Coturnix japonica: one gene and its partner. Each later gene encodes a partner of the first gene's protein in a complex. Links are inferred from orthologs where the notes say so. Each region holds a gene or a part of one and is shown on either strand. Other genes may lie near its edges.

The links.
Region 2: the proteins of ATP2B1 (region 1) and NPTN are in contact, whole or in part, in a cryo-EM structure (PDB 6A69), measured with the Homo sapiens proteins. The link is inferred for Coturnix japonica from reciprocal best matches to the Homo sapiens genes ATP2B1 and NPTN. Residues at the interface, in NP_001353449.1 of Homo sapiens: Phe954, Asp955, Ile956, Asp957, Glu996, Arg997, Asn998, Val999, Glu1039, Gln1040, Leu1042, Trp1043, Ile1045, Phe1046, Met1049, Gly1050, Leu1052, Leu1053, Gln1056; in NP_036560.1 of Homo sapiens: Arg245, Ser246, Asn248, Arg332, Arg334, Pro339, Pro342, Phe343, Gly345, Ile346, Glu349, Ile350, Ile352, Leu353, Ile356, Ile357, Tyr360.

What each region holds. Positions count from the first base shown.
Region 1 is NC_029516.1:39,485,382-39,495,723, reverse strand, and holds part of ATP2B1 (plasma membrane calcium-transporting ATPase 1), read left to right. Parts: coding exon 1-18; intron 19-1,089; coding exon 1,090-1,197; intron 1,198-3,141; coding exon 3,142-3,324; intron 3,325-3,693; coding exon 3,694-3,807; coding exon of another isoform or gene 3,808-3,847; intron 3,848-8,006; coding exon 8,007-8,318; 3' UTR 8,319-10,342. UniProt on the Homo sapiens protein: Catalyzes the hydrolysis of ATP coupled with the transport of calcium from the cytoplasm to the extracellular space thereby maintaining intracellular calcium homeostasis.
Region 2 is NC_029525.1:1,567,551-1,578,500, reverse strand, and holds the start of NPTN (neuroplastin), read left to right. Parts: upstream 1-3,712; 5' UTR 3,713-3,866; coding exon 3,867-3,954; intron 3,955-8,597; exon of another isoform or gene 8,598-8,612; coding exon of another isoform or gene 8,613-8,631; intron 8,632-10,950. UniProt on the Homo sapiens protein: Probable homophilic and heterophilic cell adhesion molecule involved in long term potentiation at hippocampal excitatory synapses through activation of p38MAPK. May also regulate neurite outgrowth by activating the FGFR1 signaling pathway.

The DNA of each region.
Region 1 (10,342 bases):
GGAACATTTGTTGTGCAGGTGAGTAACTTATTGCTTATGTTGGAAATGCTAACCAACTAATGCTTCCGCAACCAGACATTTTATTTCTGTGAAGAATGGGCAACATCATACTATTAATAATTAAAAATAATGATTGACTAATAACAGTGAAATAGCCAACAATTCAATTTTAATATTCTTATGATTTAATTATTTTTTATTTTCACACAGTTTATTTTGGACATGAGTAATCTCAGGTGTAGGATGGATCTTAACCTTGGGATTCCTTGAATCTTAACAAACATATAACAATTCAAGCAACGCAAATGTATGCAATTCTACTTTGCGTAAAGTTGCTTCACTTAATCTACTCATCCGTCATAAGTGCAGTAGACTTGTTTTGAGACAAACCCAAATACATAGGAATTAATCCTGCCTGCAGTTTTGTTCTCTTTATCAGCGATTCATAAGGGGCTTACATTCCCATATAAGTTAGTTCTGTGTTTTTGCACAGTGTCTTATTCTTTGTTAATAATAAAAGATACTCCTGGGCTTTCCAGTGTCAGGAGCCCTATTTAATGGCTGATACTGTCTCCTTTGATGCTTGCCCTGCTGCTTGAATGTTTATTCTCCAGGGCAGCGTTCCATGCATATAGTTCCTATGCAGTGGGATACCTTACTCATTAGGGCCTGTGCAGCTTGTTGTAAGTAGATAAGTCAGTGAGGATGCGTTTAACTTGGCTTTCAGATTTCAGCCCATCATCATAGTTTTTATGTCAAACTGTCATGCTTAAGACTGGGATGTAGTAATATTCTGTTGAGCGATTTCTGAAATGCATGTGTTTTGGATATCTGAGACTTGCATTAATAGAAGATCGTTAGTTAACTTGGATCATTAGTTAACTTCGTTCTGAGATGGCTGAACTGAATTTGTAGTGTCAAGTACATAAAACCATTTATTTTTGTATACCATTTGAAGAATAATTGTGTGCTTAATGAGATAGTAAATCCAGTGTTTTAATGCAGAGTTGTCTATGATGGTCTTGAAGCTCTAGGGAGTTTTCTAGTAATGGATCACTGATACATGTTTAATGATATTGTTCTTCACAGGTAATTATTGTGCAGTTTGGTGGAAAACCTTTCAGTTGCTCAAAACTTTCAATTGAACAGTGGCTGTGGTCTGTTTTCCTGGGCATGGGAACACTACTCTGGGGCCAGGTAAAAATAGAATTTTTTCTAAATGTCAAATCCAGTTGTGTTAATGAATTTGTATTTTCCATGTGTAAGAGATTATTCTTTTATACCATTGACTCAAAGCTTGCTGAAGGACACAGATGAACAGGTCTACCTTAAGCATTCTGATCTTTGAAGTGGACTATACATTTGTGGAAATTAACTGTGAATGCTGCCTAAAACTACCTGGGTTAATAGCTAGTAAGTCTGCAGTTAGACATTCCTTACTAATAACTAACTAATCAAGCAAGTTAAAGTCATAACTAGATACTATGTCTGGTTTAGGACAGTTAGAAGGAAGTTTTTCACACAGAGAGTGGTAAAGCACTAAAACAGGTTGCCCAAGGAGGTTGTGGATGCCCCATCCCTGCAGGCATTCAAGGCCAGGCTGGATGTGGCTCTGGGCAGCCTGGTCTATTGGTTGCTGACCCTGCACACAGCAGGGGGGCTGCAACTGGATGATCACTGTGGTCATCTTCAACCCAGGCCATTCTGTGATTCTGTATTTACATTCAGTAATTTTTAAGTAGAAGCAGCTGTAGTTGCCTTTAAATATGAAATTGTCTTCAGCCAGATAAACACAAGAACAACTTCTGTAAGAACATGAGGCAATTCATATGCTAATGTTTCAGTGTATTTGACGTAATGTTGAATGGTTTTCTTGAAAAATGGGTAAGTTATGTGTGCCAGTCGTTTTTCTTTAAAGATATCCTAGAGTAGCAGGAAATGCAGCAAAACTCAAAAGTTTTCTCTTTAAAAATCTTCATTTGCATAATTATGGAATATACTTTTAAGCTGACTGCATTTTCATTATTTTCTTCCTTGGGGTTTCTTTGCTGTTGCACATGCAGCAGTACTTGTGAGCTTATTTACATGAAACTTTAGAACTCTGTGTAGTTTCTCATTAGTTAATGACATGGTTGTCTAAATTCTTTATACCACATGAAGACTTTTCCAGTACGGTTTCTTCCCTTCTAATTTGTAAAGAATACCTTTTCAGGGTGAATTTTAGTTGTAAATAAATACATAAACGCATATTCTAAATGTGGGTATTAACTTTTTAAAGAAGGCTTAAAAATTGAATAGAGTCATTCTGAGGTTTAAAAGCAGCCTCATAGAGAGTCATGGCAGCTTGAAATACCTTTGATCCAAAGCATCCTGGAAGTGCAGAGCTTCCCTGCTGCAGTTCATGCTGCTCTAGTGTCTGATCATAGTGAAAGACCTTTTGACTTTCTGCTAATAGTAGAAACTGAAGTCATAGTAACAATGTCAGTATGAAAGGCAGTTTATCTCGCTTTTGGAGCAGTCTTTTTTCTTTGCAGCTTCTGAAATGGCCTTCTAGATTAATGATGCTCAAGGAAAGCAGGCTTGGAACTGATGTGGATCTGCTAGATGGGATGTATCAAAAGATGATTCTCCTTCACTACATAGTTCAACAGAATAGCCCTGAAGGTGTGGATGAAAAGGAAAGCCGGAAAAGACATATATAGCTTCTGTTTAGCTTCAGCTAGATTAATTAATTAAAAACAAGTAGCGATATAATACAAACAACTAGCAATTTAGTAGCTTGATGTAGGGGTTTTGGAAACATCGCTGACCTTGCAAGTGGATCAATACCGCTCAGGTGACAAAAGAATGCCTGCCTCTTCTGTATTTCTGAATAAGCTGTGGCCACTTCTAATTAAATGTTATTGAGGTTGTGAGAAAGCTTAAGAGTTGTGCAGCCATTCATCTGGAGTGACGGCTCTACACTGATGCACTTAGCCATTTACATCTTTTTTTTTTTTCTTTTTTCTTTCTTTTTTTCCAACTTTGCTAATCGTGTATACAGGATATTATGTCAAGCTGTATGTTATTATGTTTGTTCTTTTTCTTTTTTTTCTTCCCTTAAAACAATAATTCTGATACCTATTTCTTATTCGCTGTTAGTTGATTTCAACAATCCCAACTAGCCGCCTGAAATTTCTTAAGGAAGCTGGTCATGGAACACAAAAGGAAGAGATTCCTGAAGAAGAGTTAGCAGAAGACGTGGAGGAGATTGACCATGCTGAACGAGAATTACGTCGTGGTCAGATCTTGTGGTTTAGGGGCCTAAACAGAATACAAACTCAGGTATGGTCTTGGAAAAGGTAGGATGCGGTGCGTGTTAGGAGGGGAATCACTCTTCTCCATCCCCAGTCCTTTGACTACGGTGGCAGTTTTAAATGGTGTGGATGAGACTCTCGAGGGGATATGGATGACTGTACAATCCCTCAGGGTTCTCTGTTTTCTTCTACTCTAAGTTCAGCTCTTCCCTGTGTATCTACTGTATTTAAACAAAAAAAGTGCCTTTTTTTTCTTTACTTTTTTGTGTGCTATAGATGGGGATGGTCCTCTCTTGTTCTCTCTCTTTCTCGATCTCTCTCTCTCTCTCTCTCTCTCTCTCTTTCTCTCTCTCTCTCTCTTGCTGAGCAAGCTGTCACAATCTCTGATTCCTTGCAGATGGATGTAGTGAATGCTTTCCAGAGTGGAAGTACCATTCAGGGGGCTCTAAGGCGGCAACCCTCCATCGCCAGCCAGCACCATGATGTAACAAATATTTCTACCCCTACACATGTAGTGTTTTCCTCTACTACTGCTTCTACTACTGTGGGGTGTGAGTGTGTGTTCCTAAAGTGCATGAAGTTAACATTTCCTGATTCACATACCTAACGTTTCTCATTTTCTCCTTAGTACTTAAACTCATCGTTCAGGCTTTTCATAGAGCTTTTTCACAAAGTGGAGTCCTCGAGGCTTTTTTTTCTTAGAGGGCTGAGAACAGGTGGAACAATTGCAACAAAAGACTTTCACTTTAAAGCTGTGAGCCTGCACATCCTGTGCCTTCATCCATTCGTGTACAGAGGAATGCTTAGGATAAAACAGGAAAACTGTTGTAAATTTTCGAGTATATGCCGTGAAAGTCACCTTATGTGGGTGACTTCTGTTGAATAAGCAAATTGATTAAATGTATAATCGTAGATCTAGTTCAACTCTCTTGCACTACACAGAGCACAGATGATACTTGAGAAGGTGAAGAAACGGATGGAAAAGCCATGCTGTTTTAAAAATAAGAATGTAGTTAGAGAACATGGGGCACTAAATGCATTTTCTTTGTAGCTTGTGAGGAACTTCTGAGTCTCTGCTTTCTGTGGACTTATTTATTTATTTTTTTATTTTTTACTGAATAACACAACTTTCTCAACACCAGGATTCAGGTGGCGAAACAAGGCTTCCCTTAAATGCATACAGTTCAGAAGAAACATAGCTCATGAAAAAGAAGAAGGGCTTAAGCGCTAAGTAGTGAAACTTTGGTTCACATTTGAAGAGTTTCTTTTCCTTTCTAGGTTCTTCAGACAGCAGTTCATAAGCCATCAGTAGCAGTACAGTTCTTGTCTCACCTCAATTCTGCCCTCTTTATATTGTACTCTAAGTGGCATTTCAGTTTCAGCCTTCCTCTTTGTAGAAGCTAGAGATTTAATTACTCATATGTAGGCTTTAATTATGGAGTCTGAAGATGTGTAACAGTTATAGATATTAGCTCTCAGTATTCAACTATTGCTGAAGCCATTTTCCATCTTAGTTATGTAATATATGTTTAACTTCCCTCTCTTAACTTCCTATAGACCAGTTAAAGAATTGTTTTTAAAAATAACTGTGAGAAGGCTTCTTTTCCCCACCCCTGCCCTGCTTTTTAAGCTTTCAGATTACCAAGTGGATGAAGACCCTTAATTTCAGGAGCTGCCTTAAATGTTTTCTTCTAATTCCTTTATTTTTATGGGGTTTTTGACATGGCTAGAATTTCTGTGTTAGCTTGCACAAGCTAACTCATTCTTCCTTGGCGACACAGATACTTCCCTATCCTGCAAGTGAGTGGTATTGAGAAGCTTAGCTCGCAAATTTGCATGCCTGAAGCTCACAAAATGAAAAGTAGATTTAAGAGTAAGGATATGCAGGATTGCATCTCCTACTTAAAATGGTAATGAGTAACCTGTATCCCTAACTACACTCAAGAACATTAATTAGACATTGAGAACTCTCTAGAGAGCAACTTCATGCCATGCTGTCATTTGAGCAGAACCTAATGGGTACTGCATCATCTCATTGCATCAAATGACCAATGCAGATACAAAGCTACAAAAACAACAACAACAAAAAATACCTAGTTTTTGATATTCACTATGAAATACAGCCTTCTGCTATTCCCTCTAGGAGAACATCTTTTGATAGCTAATGTATATTAGTGGCAAACAGACAAGTTTGTTCATTGTTGTCTTTTTTGGAGCTGTTAGCTAGAAGATAGTTCACATGTACTAAGGTTGCTATTCCAAAGCAGCTGTCAGTCCAGTAAGATTTGGAGTGCTTACTTGCATTCCTTACTATCCTGGTACCTAATATAGGAAAGGCCTGAAGATATCATAGATTGTGCTGTTCGCTCCTCACTTATTCAATTTTATAGTTAGCTCTCTTGCTTCATTATCTTGAGTAGCTGAAAATAAAGCCTTAAAAATGTTAGATGTTTGTCTTTTAAGTGTAAGGTAAAATGCTGGTAGTCTTATTTCAACTGTTCGCAGCCAGACGTTATAAGGATCCTTAGCAGGGTTCATAAGATCATCCAGGTCAGTTGTTTGTCTTTATGTGAATCACACTTTCATTATAGATATCCTTATATTCTTATGATAATTACAGCTCTCCTATTAAGCTGAAAAACTGTTTTTCGTTACTGCTTATGCTGTAACATACCATCTGTAAGGAATGAAAAACTAGTACCGTAAGGCAGTCCTATTTCATTTTGCCACTGAAATCAGTGGCACAGTAGGATGCAACATGCCAGATCTTTATTTGGCATTGCAAACTTTCAGTCTGACACTGTCACTCCTAATTCACTTGGAAAGTACCAAGAGATTTTATGCAGCACTCTGGGTTTGTTTAAGTCTCACATAACGTGCAAACTCTTAAAAAGTGTGCTCAATTTTTCATGTGATAAACAGTAAAGCATTAGATGCCTCTGTAACCATTTATCTCTCAAGCTCATCAACACTATTTCCTGTCTTCTCCTTTCTGAATATCATGTATCCTTCCTGTCCTCTTGAAATGATTTTCATCATCAGTGGAGCTCAGCTGCATGCGTGCAGTATGAAAATGTGGACTTTATAGCTTTTTAGTAAAATTCTTAATGACCACTGGGGCAGGGATAGGGGAAACAACACCTATTTCTGGATATCAAAGAACGTGGTCAGAACCGATGTGGTGTATACAGAGCTTCTATGGTAACAAACTTCGCGCACTGCTGCTGGGGAATCCTTTTCAGTTTGCACTAAGAGGATGTTTGGTGTATCTTAACTCTTCTGAAGTCAATATTCCCATCTTTCTTGACCTTCCAGCTTCATTCCTTCACCTGGTATTGCTTCTTTTTTACTACTAAGGAACTCGGCACATCCTGTTTGGAAGCAGTAATCCTGATATACTTCTCAGCTTGAAACAAGTCATCTGGGATGTCCTAAAATTTGGCTTACTGTTCTGTAACAGTAAGTTGCTCTGTACTACAGAGTTTTGCTCTGCTTCGTATTGTACTGTGCAGGAACTTTTTGTGTACTTTCCTGAAGACTTACTCAGGTTACTTAGAGATGCTGAGTATTGAACAGGCAGAAGCTAACAGAAGTTGGAAAATGTGTTTTGATTGAAGTATTGGACAAAGGGGTCATTGGCTTGTCATTAAATATGTTATATCAAATCAAGAATGAATCCTGAATTAATGAGTTGGTCAGGGAATTGTGGGGCACAGGAGAAGAGGTAGATGAGCAGGTGGCTTCATCCTTCAAACCATAATTGGAAAAGTGTAAATTCCCGTCATCTTGGACATGTACATTTTGTAAAATGAAGTTACCCCTTTTTACTATCCAATTTCGTATCGAATATCGTTCTGAAATGTTTGTTTGCGGTTTCTTTAAACTTGGTGTTCTGATTTGCACGTGTTAGTTAAACAATGAAGAGACTTGAAATTATGTTCAGCCTGGGAATTTTATCCATGCGTTCATTGGAAGCTGAAAACCCAAGTAAGCTAAAGCTGATCACCTGCATCTCTTGTATTTAGTGTTGCTTGAATAGTCTCTTCCAAGTTATAACCCATTGTAGCTACATCTTCAGTGTACAATACAGCATTCAGTTCCCGAGTTCTGGCACTAAGCTTCCAAATCATTAAGTAAGAAACTTTCTCCACTGTGGTAGATGGGTATATACTCGAACATTTACAGCTGTTTATAGTTAGTCATATCCTTTATTGCATGACTTCGTTACTGTCTGGTCATTGTGACATTGGCTTTCACATGCTTGGCTTTTTCATAGTCAGTTGACATCCTAAATTCCCAGCATGAGAATTAGTAACTCTTTTACCCTTTAACTTACTTCCAGCCTTTTCCACCCCCCTCAGTATTCTATAAAACTCACTGAAAATTATTTGATTTGCAAATAAGTAATTGTTGGCCTCATTTAAAGAAGTGCTTTGCCCACGTTAAGTAATTAAGCAATTCTATTGCCATGTCTGAATTTTAGGCCCTTCAGCTTCTTGCAGTACTTTCACTGTTTCTATTCCTACTTTGTAGACTGGCAGTGCTCTACTGAAACGCTTTTCATTTTTTACAGTGTATTGCAAGTTCCACTGCATCACATACAAATTCGAATCACTCATGTCTAGCTGTTTGTGGACTCAAAACTCATAAGAACTATGTCATGGCCAGTAAATCTGCGGCATGTTAACTACCTTTTTTCTTTGTTTGCAGATTCGAGTGGTGAATGCATTTCGTAGTTCTTTGTATGAGGGGCTACAGAAACCTGAGACACGAAGTTCAATTCACAATTTTATGACGCATCCTGAGTTTAGAATAGAAGACTCCGAGCCTCATATTCCCCTAATTGACGATACTGATGCTGAAGATGATGCTCCAACAAAACGCAACTCTACTCCCCCACCCTCTCCCAATAAAAACAACAATGCGGTTGACAGTGGAATTCACCTTACAACAGACATGAACAAGTCTGCTACCTCTTCATCCCCAGGGAGCCCGCTACATAGTTTGGAAACATCACTCTGATTGTAAGCTGAATGTTAACACACTAGCTGCATTGTAAAGAAATTGAAACTGGGTCTCTTCACACTTTATGATGGACAAGATGAGATTCTTGTCTTGGACTTCAACAGAAGACACACTTGTACGAATGTAGATTTATTTTTTTAAACAAAAAAGCTTTCTGCCAGACTGGAGGGTGCTTTTCTGGGGGTGGGAGTAATAATGAACTCTGACAGATGAACAGTAACTCGGCATAAGTGACCTGTGGATCATCTGTTGTACTTAAGAATGGTCCCGAACAGTGTGTTTAGCAGAGCTTTAGTTTATCATGATCCTTTTTTGAGGGGAAAGCTGGGAAGGGCAAGGAGGCCCTGGATCGTTGAATTGATACTTTAATTTCTGCTGTTGGCTGTTAATAATTTGGATTATTTATGTTTATAAATGATACAGATCTGTTTACAAGGTTTGTAGATACTTTTTTGTTCCTGTTCATAGATGGGAAGCTTCCTTATAAATGACGCAGAGAAAAATAATAATAATAATAAATAATAATAAAATAAAAATATTAAAAAAAAAAACTAGTCCTTCAAATACTGCTGTATTTTCAGGAAAAGGGTGTTTCTATTGAAACTGTACTAAATTTTGCCTGCAATTTACCTTGTTAAATATTGTAGATAAATTGCTGATACTAATAGCCAAATAGATAACACTAATGCTTTGTAAAAACATGAGCAGTGGTGTTCTAATGAAGTTATGGCCTCTGTCCTGATTAGTTTCTTAAATACATTTACTACTTAATGGTTTTGAAACAACTGTTTAATTTTTAAAAATTTTGAGAAACTTAACTGAATAACTTTTGTTCAGAACTTAGTAGGATTGTTTAACGCAGGACATCAATATGTGATGGAACTTGCTTGAAACATTTCTGTTATCTCGGGCAAAATGGATTAAATCAAAATACATCAGAATCTTAGTCCTTTGTTTTTGTCTAAACATGTTAGTTTAGTGCTGTCTTGGTGAACTGTGAGTGGAACTGTGATTTTTTTCTAATCTATAAAATCCTTCATGCAGCATGAGGGCTGTTGGCATTTTGAAAGGTTGTTAGTGGGTAGCATACATGTTCTCCTTTTTGTTTTTGAAACTTGTTTGTAAACATGAATAAACCTGCCCTTTTGTTAAAATAAAATTGCAGCGATGGTTTATTACAGATTTTTTTATTATTATTATTTTATTTTTTTTCCCTCAGCTCCATCACAGGAAACACTGAAAAGTACTCTCTTGTATTACTGGTTAAAACTACTTTTAGCTACAATTTCAAGATGGTAACAGCCCCACTATAAGTAGGACTTGCAGGTAAATGGAATTGCGGTGGCTGCCTCAGAATGAATGTAAGGTTAAGGTACTCACAAGTCTTTGTTGAGCCCAAAAGATACTCCTTGGCAAATAGTCTGGCTGAGATTCCAAGATGTGCTTATAGATCTCTGTATCCCTTTGTAAAGGGAGGAAAAGAAGAACTGACCGATGGCACCAGTGAAAGTACATTTTCCACTTGAATAATATGCACCAAAACTAACCTGCTAGTGCTAGTGATAGACTGCAAAACCCACGGTCTGCCTCCGCTGCACTCTTTAAACAGCTAAGGATGGTGGAACAGCGCTGAATTTGCTGGATCATGCCACGTTTTCCCAGTCCGTTACTGTTCAGAAGAGCATGACTTTAATACTATGTTTCTTTTCAACAGCTCTGTGTTCATAAACATAGTATTTGCGTGGATCGCTTTTCTTCTTTCCCAGAGTAATCCGTAATATTGAAGACTTTTTTTATAGAGGTCGCTTGGGAGGAATTACATTGGTGATGAGGGAGGAGGTAACAATACTAGAGCAAACTGCAGGAGCGAGCAGGTTAAGGAGACAGGCTCAAGCAGATCTTTTCCTTTGTGGTGGGATAACTTCATGCTTGCGTTTGTTCTTCAATGGCTAATGTTGAATGTGTAGCACTGTATCCCACTGTCAACCACATCTGAATTCAGTCTTTTCTAGTTTACTGAA
Region 2 (10,950 bases), on another chromosome or scaffold:
GAGAGAAAGGGGAAATGCAAGGAGTTTGAGTTAATGTTTGGGAACTTCAATAAGCCTGAGCTCCCCTTGCTGTTCACAAGGTTAGGAATCACTATGCCCACACAAGCAAGAAAAAACATCAATAAAATCATCACCTATAAGCCATTGTATTACAGATTCACAGAACTATAGGGGTTGGAAAGGACTTCTAGAGATCACTGAGTCCAACCCCAAACTAAAGCAGCTTCCTTTCAGCAGGTTGCACAGGTAGGCGTCCAGACATGTCTTAAATATCACAAGGAGACTCCACCACCTCTCTGGGCAGCCTCTTCCAGTGCTCTGTCACTCTGACAGTAAAGAAGTTCTTCCTTGTGTTAGCATGGAACTTTCTGTGTTCCAGTTTCTGCCCCTTGTTCTATTGCTGCCTGCCACCAAGGGTCCATCCCCGTCAGTATGACTCCTGCACTTTAGATATTTATAAACAGTTATGAGATCCTGAGTTTTCTCCAGGTTGAATAGTCTCAGGTCTCTCAGCCTTTCCTCATACAGGAGATGCTCCAGGCCCTTACTCATCTTTGTGTCCCTCTGCTGGACTCTCAAACAGCTCCCTGTTTCTTTTGGAACTGGGGAGCTCAGAACTGGACACAGTACTCCAGATGAGGCCTCACCAGGGCAGAGTAGAGGAGAATATCACCTTTCTCAACCTGCTGGCTGATTTTTCTTGATGCACGCCAGGACACCATAGGCCTTTTTGGCCACAAGGGCACACTGTTGACTCATGATCAGCCTGTTGTCCACCAGGACACTCAGGTCCTCCTCAAAGCTCCCTTCCTGCAGGCCAGCCCCTAACCTGTACTGATGCCTGTGGTTATTCCTCCCTCGCTGCAAGACTCTACGTTTGCTTTTGTTGAACCTCATCAGGTTCCTCCCTGCCCAACTCTCTAGTCTGTCCAGGACTTGTTGAATGGCAGCACCTCCTCCTGGTATGTCAAACACTTCCCTCAGCTTCATATCAGCAGACATGGACTCTATCCTCTTACCCAGGTCACTGATGAAGATGTAGAACAAGAACAAATCTAGCCCCAACCCACACAGAACACCACTAGTTATAGGCCTGTTGTAACAACTCAGTCTGGTGGAATCCTTCCCTTTGCAGTAGAACACTTCCCTTACCATCAACCTAGTTAACCCAGTGCTGGCTAACTCTTTTTCTATACAACTCCACTGTAAGTTGTATGCGACCCGGTAAAAGAGGATATACTTGTGCACAGAGAAAAAACAGCTTTTCATTCCATGCTAGTCATGCTGCATACCTGAGATACTGAGTATATACATGTCCATGTACATTGAGGATTGCAGTAACTCTGGTTAACTTCCCTAAGAGATTCCTGAAGAGTTTGAATTGGTCAGCATTGTGATCTTGTCACCAGTCATGGATATCTTCTGCTTTGGTTTCTTGCGTTATATGCTCACAGCACTTCTGTCTCGAGCAAAAAAACAGATGAGTTACACAATTGTGGGGAGAAGATGGAAGGAAACAACAGCGTGCTGAAGCCTCCTGCTAACTTCTGCCCAGGCCTCTGGCAGCATGACTCACTGTGAGCTGCCATGGTTACGAAACAAGTATTACTGTGCAGATACAAACCATGCTCAGAGGCAAGTACATCGCTGACTGGTTCCAAACTTGGAAAACACTCGGGTGTAGGTAAGGCCTAATACCAAGTGGGTGTTTGCAAAAATGAGAGTTATAGCAAAATCCTCCGGAGCAGGAAAAACAGCATGCAGAAAGCAGAGGGAAGGGAAGCATCATGTGGAAATTTTGCTTTCTGGTTCTTTTTGCTTATTCCTTCTGGTTTTCCAGTGCTACTGTCAGAATTGTTGCACAGAAAAACAAACAAAGGGAGAAAAGAGGATGTTTCTGTACCATGGCAAGAAAACAAATAGTAGTGTCGTGGATGATTCAGCTGGCAAGGATAGTGAGTCATGGAAATGCAGCATGGAAGCACTCAAGTGCAGGATACGCAGCACAGTGGAACATCTGATGTAGAGTGAGTTTAGTATCATGGCACCTTTAGAGAGCCAGGACTGCCAACAGCCCCAACGTTTCTCTCCTGTGAGCTCAGCAGAATGGAAGCTTACCTGAAGTGTCGGAGCAGTGCTTTTGTCAGCTTTAAAGGAGTTGCAGGGTTTCCATGTAAAAGGTGTGCCTGATCCTCGAGTCACATCAACAAGGAAAGCACTCTCATTTTATTTCCTGAGAATTAACCAAGCAAAGTACTCAGGGATGCAAAATCAAGCGGCTGCACCCTCATGAAACAAGCTATATTAATAGGGTTTAACAGCAGGGATGTTTTCCCTGGAAAGAGAAAACAGCTTCTGATTGTATTAGTGTCCTCCCAGGGCCCTTCTCTGGCTGGGAGAGAAGGCTGGGCAATCTTTGGACAGCTATTCTAGGAGATCTGAGCCTGCAGAGCTCTCTGGAGTAGGAAAAGAGGACTCAGCACAAAGCAGAAGATACACTTTTGAGTGATTTCCTTCTTTCTTTGTCTTAATTCCCAATGTGTTCCTGTGCCATTGATTTTTTTTTTTCAGTTTCCTGCAAATCTCCCTACCTTGGATACATGTTAAACCACTCAGCAGTCAACCCCGACTGTCAATGCCACCCCAGGAGGGATAACAGTCCAAAATCCGCTTTTATGTCACCTAAATCAGGGTTACAGTCAGCTGGGGTTACCAACATGGTACATAACTAGTCTATCTGACCCCAAATCAGATTGGGAAATAGAGGAAACCAGGGTGACTACTCACAGCTCACCAAACAAGCCTCGAGGTGGGACCACGTTGACTATTTTTAGGGACAACTGGCAGGTCCAGTGAACCGGGAGGGAATTTTTGAGCTCTCTCCGCAGTCGATTTCACTGCTAACCTGAGGCAAATGCATTCACTTCTTGTGGCTTCAGCTTCCAGTCTGTGTAATCAGAGGGGCAGGGTCCTTTATTTGGGAAAAAAAAAACCCACAAACAAACCAGAATAAATCCCCACAATGTTATTTTACTTTCTAAAATATTTATCAACAAATGCTCTTCTGTGCTGGTAGGTCCTAATTACACATAGTCTCTTGCTCCAAACCTCTGCATTATGAGGCTATCCACGTGAGGGAATCTCTCAGCATTTTCACCTGTTTATTACCTACTGCACCATTTCACACTGATAATATAAGAAGTGCAATACTTTCACTGGGTAAATTCCACACAGAAATCCAAAATCCAATGTGGGATGTTGGGGGGAGGGGGGGGGGATGGGGAGGGAAGACCTGTTGGTAAGCTATGGTTGTGTTTCAACTTATTCCTTGTGGGTAAGTGATAGTTGTGTTTCAACTTATTCCTTGAGGGAAAAATTATTGGTTGATGCTGCTCCTGGCCTGCCTTCCTGTGTATCTGCTATTTGTAGAGAATGAAGAATAAAAGTGAGGTTTTAGTTGGGTCATGGAAAACTGATTTCAGGAGTATCACCTCAGCCTCAGCCCTGTGTTTGCTGGGACACAAGTAAAGAGACTGGAACTGTGCACGGATGCACGACCTGAGGATGGTATTTGCTCTCTGCACCCCCATGGCACCGCCAGGCCCACCTCGAAGCGGGCACAAGATGGCGCCTGAGGTGAAAACGCAAAGCCCGCGCCGCGCATGTCACGTGACCCCTCCATCTCCGCCCAGAGCAGCGGGGCCGCCCCGCCCAACTCTCGCGAGATCCACCGGTGGCGTCGCGGGAGCCGGCGCTGCGCTGCGGTAGGAGGTCGGCGGAGAAGGACGGAGCCGGAGCCGCTTCGCCGCCCTCCTTCCTCCCTTCCCTCCCTCCCTCCCGCCTCGCTCCCCTCCTCAGCCGGGAGGATGCCTCGCTCCGGCCCGCTCCCCGCCGCCTTCTCCCTGCTGCTGCTGACGGCCGCGCTGCTGCCGGCTCCCTCCGCCGCGCAGAACGGTGAGGGCGGCGTGAGGGGAGCGGAGCGGAGGGGGGAGGGGGCGCGTTGCCATGGGGCCGCCGTTACTGTGGGGGCGGCTACGGCGGGGGACGAGGGTCATGGCGGGGCGGGGGAGGCCGTACGAGGGTTTCGGGGGGAATGGGGGTCGCTGTGGGGTGGGGGTTGAAGCCGCCCCCCCCCTCGCCCCTTTCCGCCGTTCTGAGGTGCTTGGAGCCCGGCAGAGCGACCATCTCCCGCCCACTGAACCCGCATCTGCCGAGTTGCCTTCGGTGATTTATAATGCAATAAAGTCGTAGTTCCTTAGCAACTAAAGGAGGTGCTGTGATAGGAGCGGAAAAGAGAGGAGGCATAAAAAAAAAGAAGAAGAAAAAGAAACCACCCTTCTCTGTGCTTTATAGGAGAGTGTGAGCTAAATGTGGCGCCTGTGCCTCCTCCCCGATGAGTTTGCATGGCGGTCGGGGGCTGTCGGAGCTCTGTGCCAGCTCCTCGTTGCTCCCTGTGGCACTGTGAGCTTTGAGGTGGCCATGAAGGAGGGGTGGGGGCTCCTGAGCTGCCCCGGGTCCCCTGTGTGCCAGTAGAGCAAGGCAAGGGCAGAAGCTCAGCTGCAAGGTTTGTGTGCGTTGAGGAAACCTTACCTGCAAAGAAACCACACCTTGCATACATTCCTATTGCCGCTGGCTTGTGGTCACTTCATCCTCTCACCTCTCCCTTTCCTCTCTGCTGTATAGTTATTGCGCTGTCTTGGTCTTTCCTCCTCTTGAGGTGGGTTTTGCTTTGCAGCATGAGGTTGGCTTTGACCCTTTGCTGCAGGAAAGAAGCCCTGAGGCCTTCAGCCCTGTGATAGCAGACACAGATGTAAGAAATAACAACCCAAAGATCCCAGATTGGATTTATTTCCTCAGTACTTGTGCGTTTTGCAGTCTGAAACCAGTGACTGCTAACCAAGCACCCATGTTGTTGCATGGAAAAAACCTGTGGGCATTCTGTATTGTGAAGGCCTTTCCTAAGGAGCACCAGATGGTCAGTGGCCAGTTGGATTGCTGTGACTACAAAGTCTGCTTCTGCATTGATGCAGTGTGCGCTATTGCAGCATGGTGTCAGCAGGGTTAATCTGCCCACGTTGTGTTTCCCATGGTATTTGGGTGAAGTAAGGTGACAGGAGTTAAATAGGTTGTGTGCTTGAAGCTGCTCATGTGTTGAACTAGCAAGCAAGGTGTCAAATGCAGGCAGCTGATATGAAGATGCTAACTAGCTGCTTGATAGGCAGTGCAGACACTTGGGTTTTAACACTAGTTCTGTGTCTTAAGCTCAACAGTTGAATACGTTCTGGGGGTAGTTGGAAGGTCTTAACCTTCCTCTGCTTCATTCTTGGTTTCCACTGCTGCCGTGAGGGTAACAGTAGCAGGTTGTGGTATGAGATGAGATTACAGACCCCAGGAGTTTTCTGAGAGCTCATTAATTTTTATGTGGTTAACTGGGGTTGTCCCAGCAATAAATGCTGGTGGAGACTCTGAGCATCTGGAATATACACAACAAGTGAGAATCTAATCTGGAGCATTCCAAAGGCAGAGATCCTTCTGAAAAAGGTGCATTGCTGCAGCTGAATTTCTGCTCTCCATTAAGTGCTGTCATAGCAGAGAAGCAAGTTTAAAGGCTCAGCTACAGAGGAGCTGATTTTTCTGCAACTAGTGGCCAGTGAGATGCTTCCTGAATCAACTCTGCTTTTGCTTTGATGTGAAGAATAAGCACAGCTGTTTTCTGGGTTATAGGTACTCCTGGTAAGCTGTTCTGAAAGTAATTGAACTTGAAAAGGTATGTGCAAATCTGTCAGTGGGAACTATCTAAACATTGCCAGGGGTGTGCTTTGAAGGTGTGGGGAGCAGTAACCCCAAATGTACACCCAAGAATCCCATGATGTGTTATTGATACGTGGTCATCACCTTAGTGAAAGATAATATGGCAGGGGTTGTTCTACTTACAGCACCACTGGGTTACATACCTGTTGAAGCTGCAGGTTGTGGACTGCTCAGCCAGCAATATGCAGCAAAGGCCAAAGTGCCTTTTTTCTTCTGACAAGAGAAAAGGAGGCTTAGAAGAGAGGCGAGGAAGCACCAGGAGGAGCAGCTGGCAAGAATCAGTCTGTCAGGAGGGTCTGTATAAACCTTTAGTTTCCAACTGGTGTTAGTTGGAGAGTCACCACTTCAGAACAGTGTTCTCCTTATGGAAGGGTGCTTGGCTTGACTCTTTGGTGGTGTACACCATGCCTTCCCTGGTTGCTGGTTTTTGACCTTGGCAGCTGCTTCCTTCAGAACCAAGACTTCAGGATACTTGCACCTCGTAGGGTTTGGTTTTAAAGGAGCATGGCTGTATCTCTGCTGATAGCTCAACTATCTACTCCAGCTGCTCCTGTTAAATTTGCAGCCTTTATCACAGCAATACACAGTCTAAATCATTATCGCTTCTCCCAGTTCTTCCATTTCAGAGCTCTGGTCTGGCAGCGTGCACTTAAAAGCAGGTTTTCGTGTCTTGTCTGAAGGACAAAATTGTTCAAATCATGCTTTTTTTACATTGTGAATGCTGTTTCTGGCTGCAGCTTTGCAGCCATTTTGCACTGATTGCCTTCTGGTATTCTGATGTGATTTTAGCGGTCCCCAGATAAAACTAAGAGATGGTTTCATACAGCATTTATGGAGCGTGAGTGTGGGCTGAGCATCGAGGAAAATGTTCAAAGTTCTGTTCTTCTCCCCACCGTTTCTATTCTCCTTCCTCCTACAACTCCCGCATAGGAAACTTAAATACAAGCAAGATGACTAAGATGTATACGCTTGAAAATCGCATCGAACTCTTCCAGTTCTCTGCTAACAGGTAAACGAGGCGTCAACTGCTGGTACTGGCACTTCAAACAATAGCTTTAATTATGTCAAGGAGCAATCCAAGTGGAAGTGCAGCTAAGTGCTGGAGTACACTGCGAGCATTAACTGGCCTTGCAACAGAGTCCTTCAGGAAGACGACTTGTTATGCTCATGAATGAGGTGCATTCTCTCCTTCACAATGAGCTGTTTCTTTTGCTGTAAGCACTCGTTTAGATCGTAAAAAACCCTTGCATTGTAAAGGACAATGGTAGCCTGTGATTCATCCTTCGGTTGTAAAACCAGTGTGGAAACTGCTCAGCTCCAAGTGCTGGAGGCACTATTCCTATTGGGGAACCTCTTAAGATGAAGGCTGGATAAACAGATTGTGCTTATTTTTAACTGGAAAGGTCTTTTAGCTGTGAACCTAAACCTCTTCTGGCGTTTTATTCCTTACATCCATACAGTTCGGAGTGTTCCCTTTCCATCAGCGTTTATTTCCTGTGTTAGGTCGGTTGTCACGGTCATTCTGTGTAAGTTGGATTTTTCCTTAGTGTTTCTGATGCTTTTCAGTCACGTTTTCAGGAATGTGATGAGTCGAACTGGCCGCAGTTCCAGTTGGGGCCGGCCCAAAGCTCAGTGGAGTGGAAGGATTGCTCCGTGCATCTTACAGATGGCATTCCCATTTGCATCACAGGACACATGCGTTTATTGCGGTATGTTTTTGACTCGTGTCCAATGGGATCCTTTACAATGGCCACATCTTACGTGGCAGGACTTGCTTAGTGTTCCTTGGCTGCCTACACCAAGCAGTTCCTTGGTGCTCCTGCTGAATGGCATCTTCTGATGGCTGCTCCCACTTGTCGTCATCCTGTTGGATCTAATGGAGCACCCACCTCTACTTGCCTTCAGCTTGCCTTGGTTCTGTCAACTGAAACAACACTATGCAATCAGCTATTTTATTTTAATCTATGTTTCATCTACTTGCTTGCATACATGAAAAATAAACATCTGATACGCAAAGCTGTGTCAATGGAGTTTTTTTTTTTGGGGTAGGAGGCTTTTGTCTGGGAGCAGTAATAATTGCCCTGTAGAAAATAAGATAATTGCAGCTGTTTTCTCTTCTGTTTCCATCTGTGTCTTACTGACTTTGCAGTAGATCAGGTTGTCATGGATAAATGGCCTCAAACCATGGCAGGGCGGTGAGGCTTAGTTCATCAGATAGGTTTCTCCCATTGTCTTCTTGGGCACTGAACTGGGACGGACAGTCTGCAGTTCCAGTCTGGTGGAGGAGGATTGGCTGCTTAAAGTTGGGAGTTGTCAAAACTCAGCATCAAAAAATAACGTCTGGTTGTTCAAGTCGAGATCGTTGGCTGAACCATTTCTTATGTGCCTTCATCAAAATCTTACTTGGTATTGAATGCTTTCACTTCCTCAGCCCTCATGTTGTGTGCTGCATTGTTTCTTTTGTCGTTAGGGGAGATTCAGTCTAATTAAATCTAAAAATAATTTCAGCCTGGGAGTATTTATCCACTAGTAAGATAGACTGTTAAAGATTCATGTTCTCTTGATAAGCTTGAAGCTTTTTTGGGTCATCTGTGTGGTTGAAGTCACCGCTTCAGTGTTGACGCAAACTCATTGGAGCAGAAAGATGATAACTTTGGAAGCTGGGAAGGATTCATCAGGCGGTGTCAGAAGGTGTGGATAGCTGCTATCATTAAGAATTAGAAGATTTTGAGAGTGAAACTTTTTTTTTTCACTGTTCCTGTTCAGATTGCAGTGGAGAACAGCACTGAGATGTCAGTATCATGTTTCGGCTGCAGCAAGGTTTGTATGCGTGGGGAGGAACTGAGCAGTGGGCTCTGATCTGGGTTGAGTTATAGAATGGCCTGAGTTGATAAGGCCCACAGTGCTCATCCAGCTCCATCCCCCTGCTGTGTGCAGGGTCACCAACCAGCAGCCCAGGCTGCCCAGAGCCACATCCAGCCTGGCCTTGAATGCCTGCAGGGATGGGGCATCCACAGCCTCCTTGGGCAACCTGTTCCAGTGCATCACCACCTTCTCTGTGTTGCTGGGTAAATAGGACCCCCATTACACTGTTGGAGGCTGTAGGGTAGGACAGTGGTTTGGATGGAGAGAAGGAAAAAACCCACAGTCTCCTGGATACTGGGTTTCTGCCTTGCAGCTGTGTTCAAAGGGATGAAGAAGCATTTTATCTATCTGCTCTTGGGAGGAGGGTTGGGATTTCAATATACCAGATGCAGTCTCAGACCTGTCTGAGGAACATGTATTTGAATCAACTTGGTGTTCCGTGTCACATCAATGTGTTTTTATATTAAAAAAAGTTGGGGGGAGATGTGAAAGGACAAGAACAGATCTACAAACTGTGTGCATGAAGAGGAGCAGGGTCCAAGATACTGCCTGGCTAAATGAATTTGCATTGTGGAACCTTTTTATAGAGGATAATTAGGTTGTGATGTCCCTGTTCTGCTATGAATCAAGAAAAAAAAACCCAAGTCTTGTAATGCTGTAATTCCTATGGGCTTGTTTAACAGTACATGTTATAAAATAATACATTAATGAATCTATTAAGCCAAAGTGCTGCTTGGTGCAGCTAAGTACTGTCGTTATTTACTACTTCCCACATTATGTCAATTACGTTAGTTTGGAGTAGATGTGGGGATCATGGAGGCTCTCCGTGGAGCTCATTTGCTTGCTTGGAAACCTCAAATAGATGCATTTACTAAGATGCATGTTGAAGGATGTAAGAAGAGGATAGAGGGAGTTATGGATGAGAATAGGGAAGATGTGAAAAGATGCCATAAGTCCAGAGCTTGAAAGTGGTTGAAAAAGCAAACGCCATATTGATGGGCTGCTCCTGGGTTTTATTTTTGGTCTTTTTGGCCTGGTTTATGCCTGAAGAGCTTGATGGAGGTGAGCTAGAATGAGCTCATTTAGCAGGTTCAACTTGCAAATATTAAATTCCCTTCATATTCATGCAGAGCTCCTCCTAATGAACTGGTTTGCGTGCAGTTACCGATTGTGGTCGATTGCGGTCCAGCTGTATCGTTACTCCCGTTAAAGTTATGCATGTGTTTGCAATGTTAAGAAACTGCTGTGTTGCTATAAGTGGCGTTTAATGACTGGCATAAGTGGAGATGATAGAAATAGGGGCTGACATAGGGAAGGCCAGAAACCTTGTGAGGCCTTGTTTGCAGTGCTGCATCCAGGCCTGCGGCCCCCAGTACAGGAAGGATGTGGAGCTCTTGGAGCTGGTCCAGAGGAGGATCACTAAGAGGCTCAGAGGGCTGGAGCACCTCTCCTGTGAGGAAAGGTTGAGGGAACTGGGCTTGTTGAACTTAGAGAAGGCTCTGGGGAGAGCTCATTGTAGCCTTCCAGTACTTGAAGGGAGCGTGTAAACAGGACGGGGAATGGCTGTTCACAAGGGTGGGCAGTGATAGGACAAGGGGGAATGGTTTTAAACTGAGACAGTGGAGGTTTAGGTTAGAAATTAGGAGGAAGTTTTTTACACAGAGGGTGGTGGTGCACTGGAATGTGTTGCCAGAGGAGGTTGTGGATGCCTGGAGGCATTGAAGGCCAGGCTGGATGTGGCTCTGGGCAGCCTGGGCTGCTGGTTGGTGGCCCTGCACACAGCAGGGGGTTGAAACAAGATGAACATTGTGGGCCTTTTCAACCCAGGCCATTCTGTGATTCTATGAGATGTTCTGAGAATTTGGTATTTTCTGGTAATTCTAGGAACTGTGTTTAAGTTGAGAGAGGCAGATTAAACGCTGTGTGGGTTTAATTTGCTGTTTGAGCAGGCAGTGGTCAGGGTTAGTAAAGGGAACGCAGGCTGAGAACAAAGAGTAAGGAGCTCTGGAACACGCAGGGTTTGTCTGGGTGCTGTTGATCTTCAATATGGCTTCAAGCAAGGACAGCGTGCTTTCTCTCCTTGTACTTCTCATTGTTAATTTCTGCTTGAGGCATTCTAGCCTGGGTGTTCAAATAGTTTACCTAAAGCAGCCTTTCGCAGGCAACCTAATGTTGTTTCATCCTCTCTCCTTTGCTTTAAGCAGCCACAGTTGCAATTAGCTAACTTGCACTCTAACGTTTTATATCGTATTACTTTGTATTTCTATTCTTATG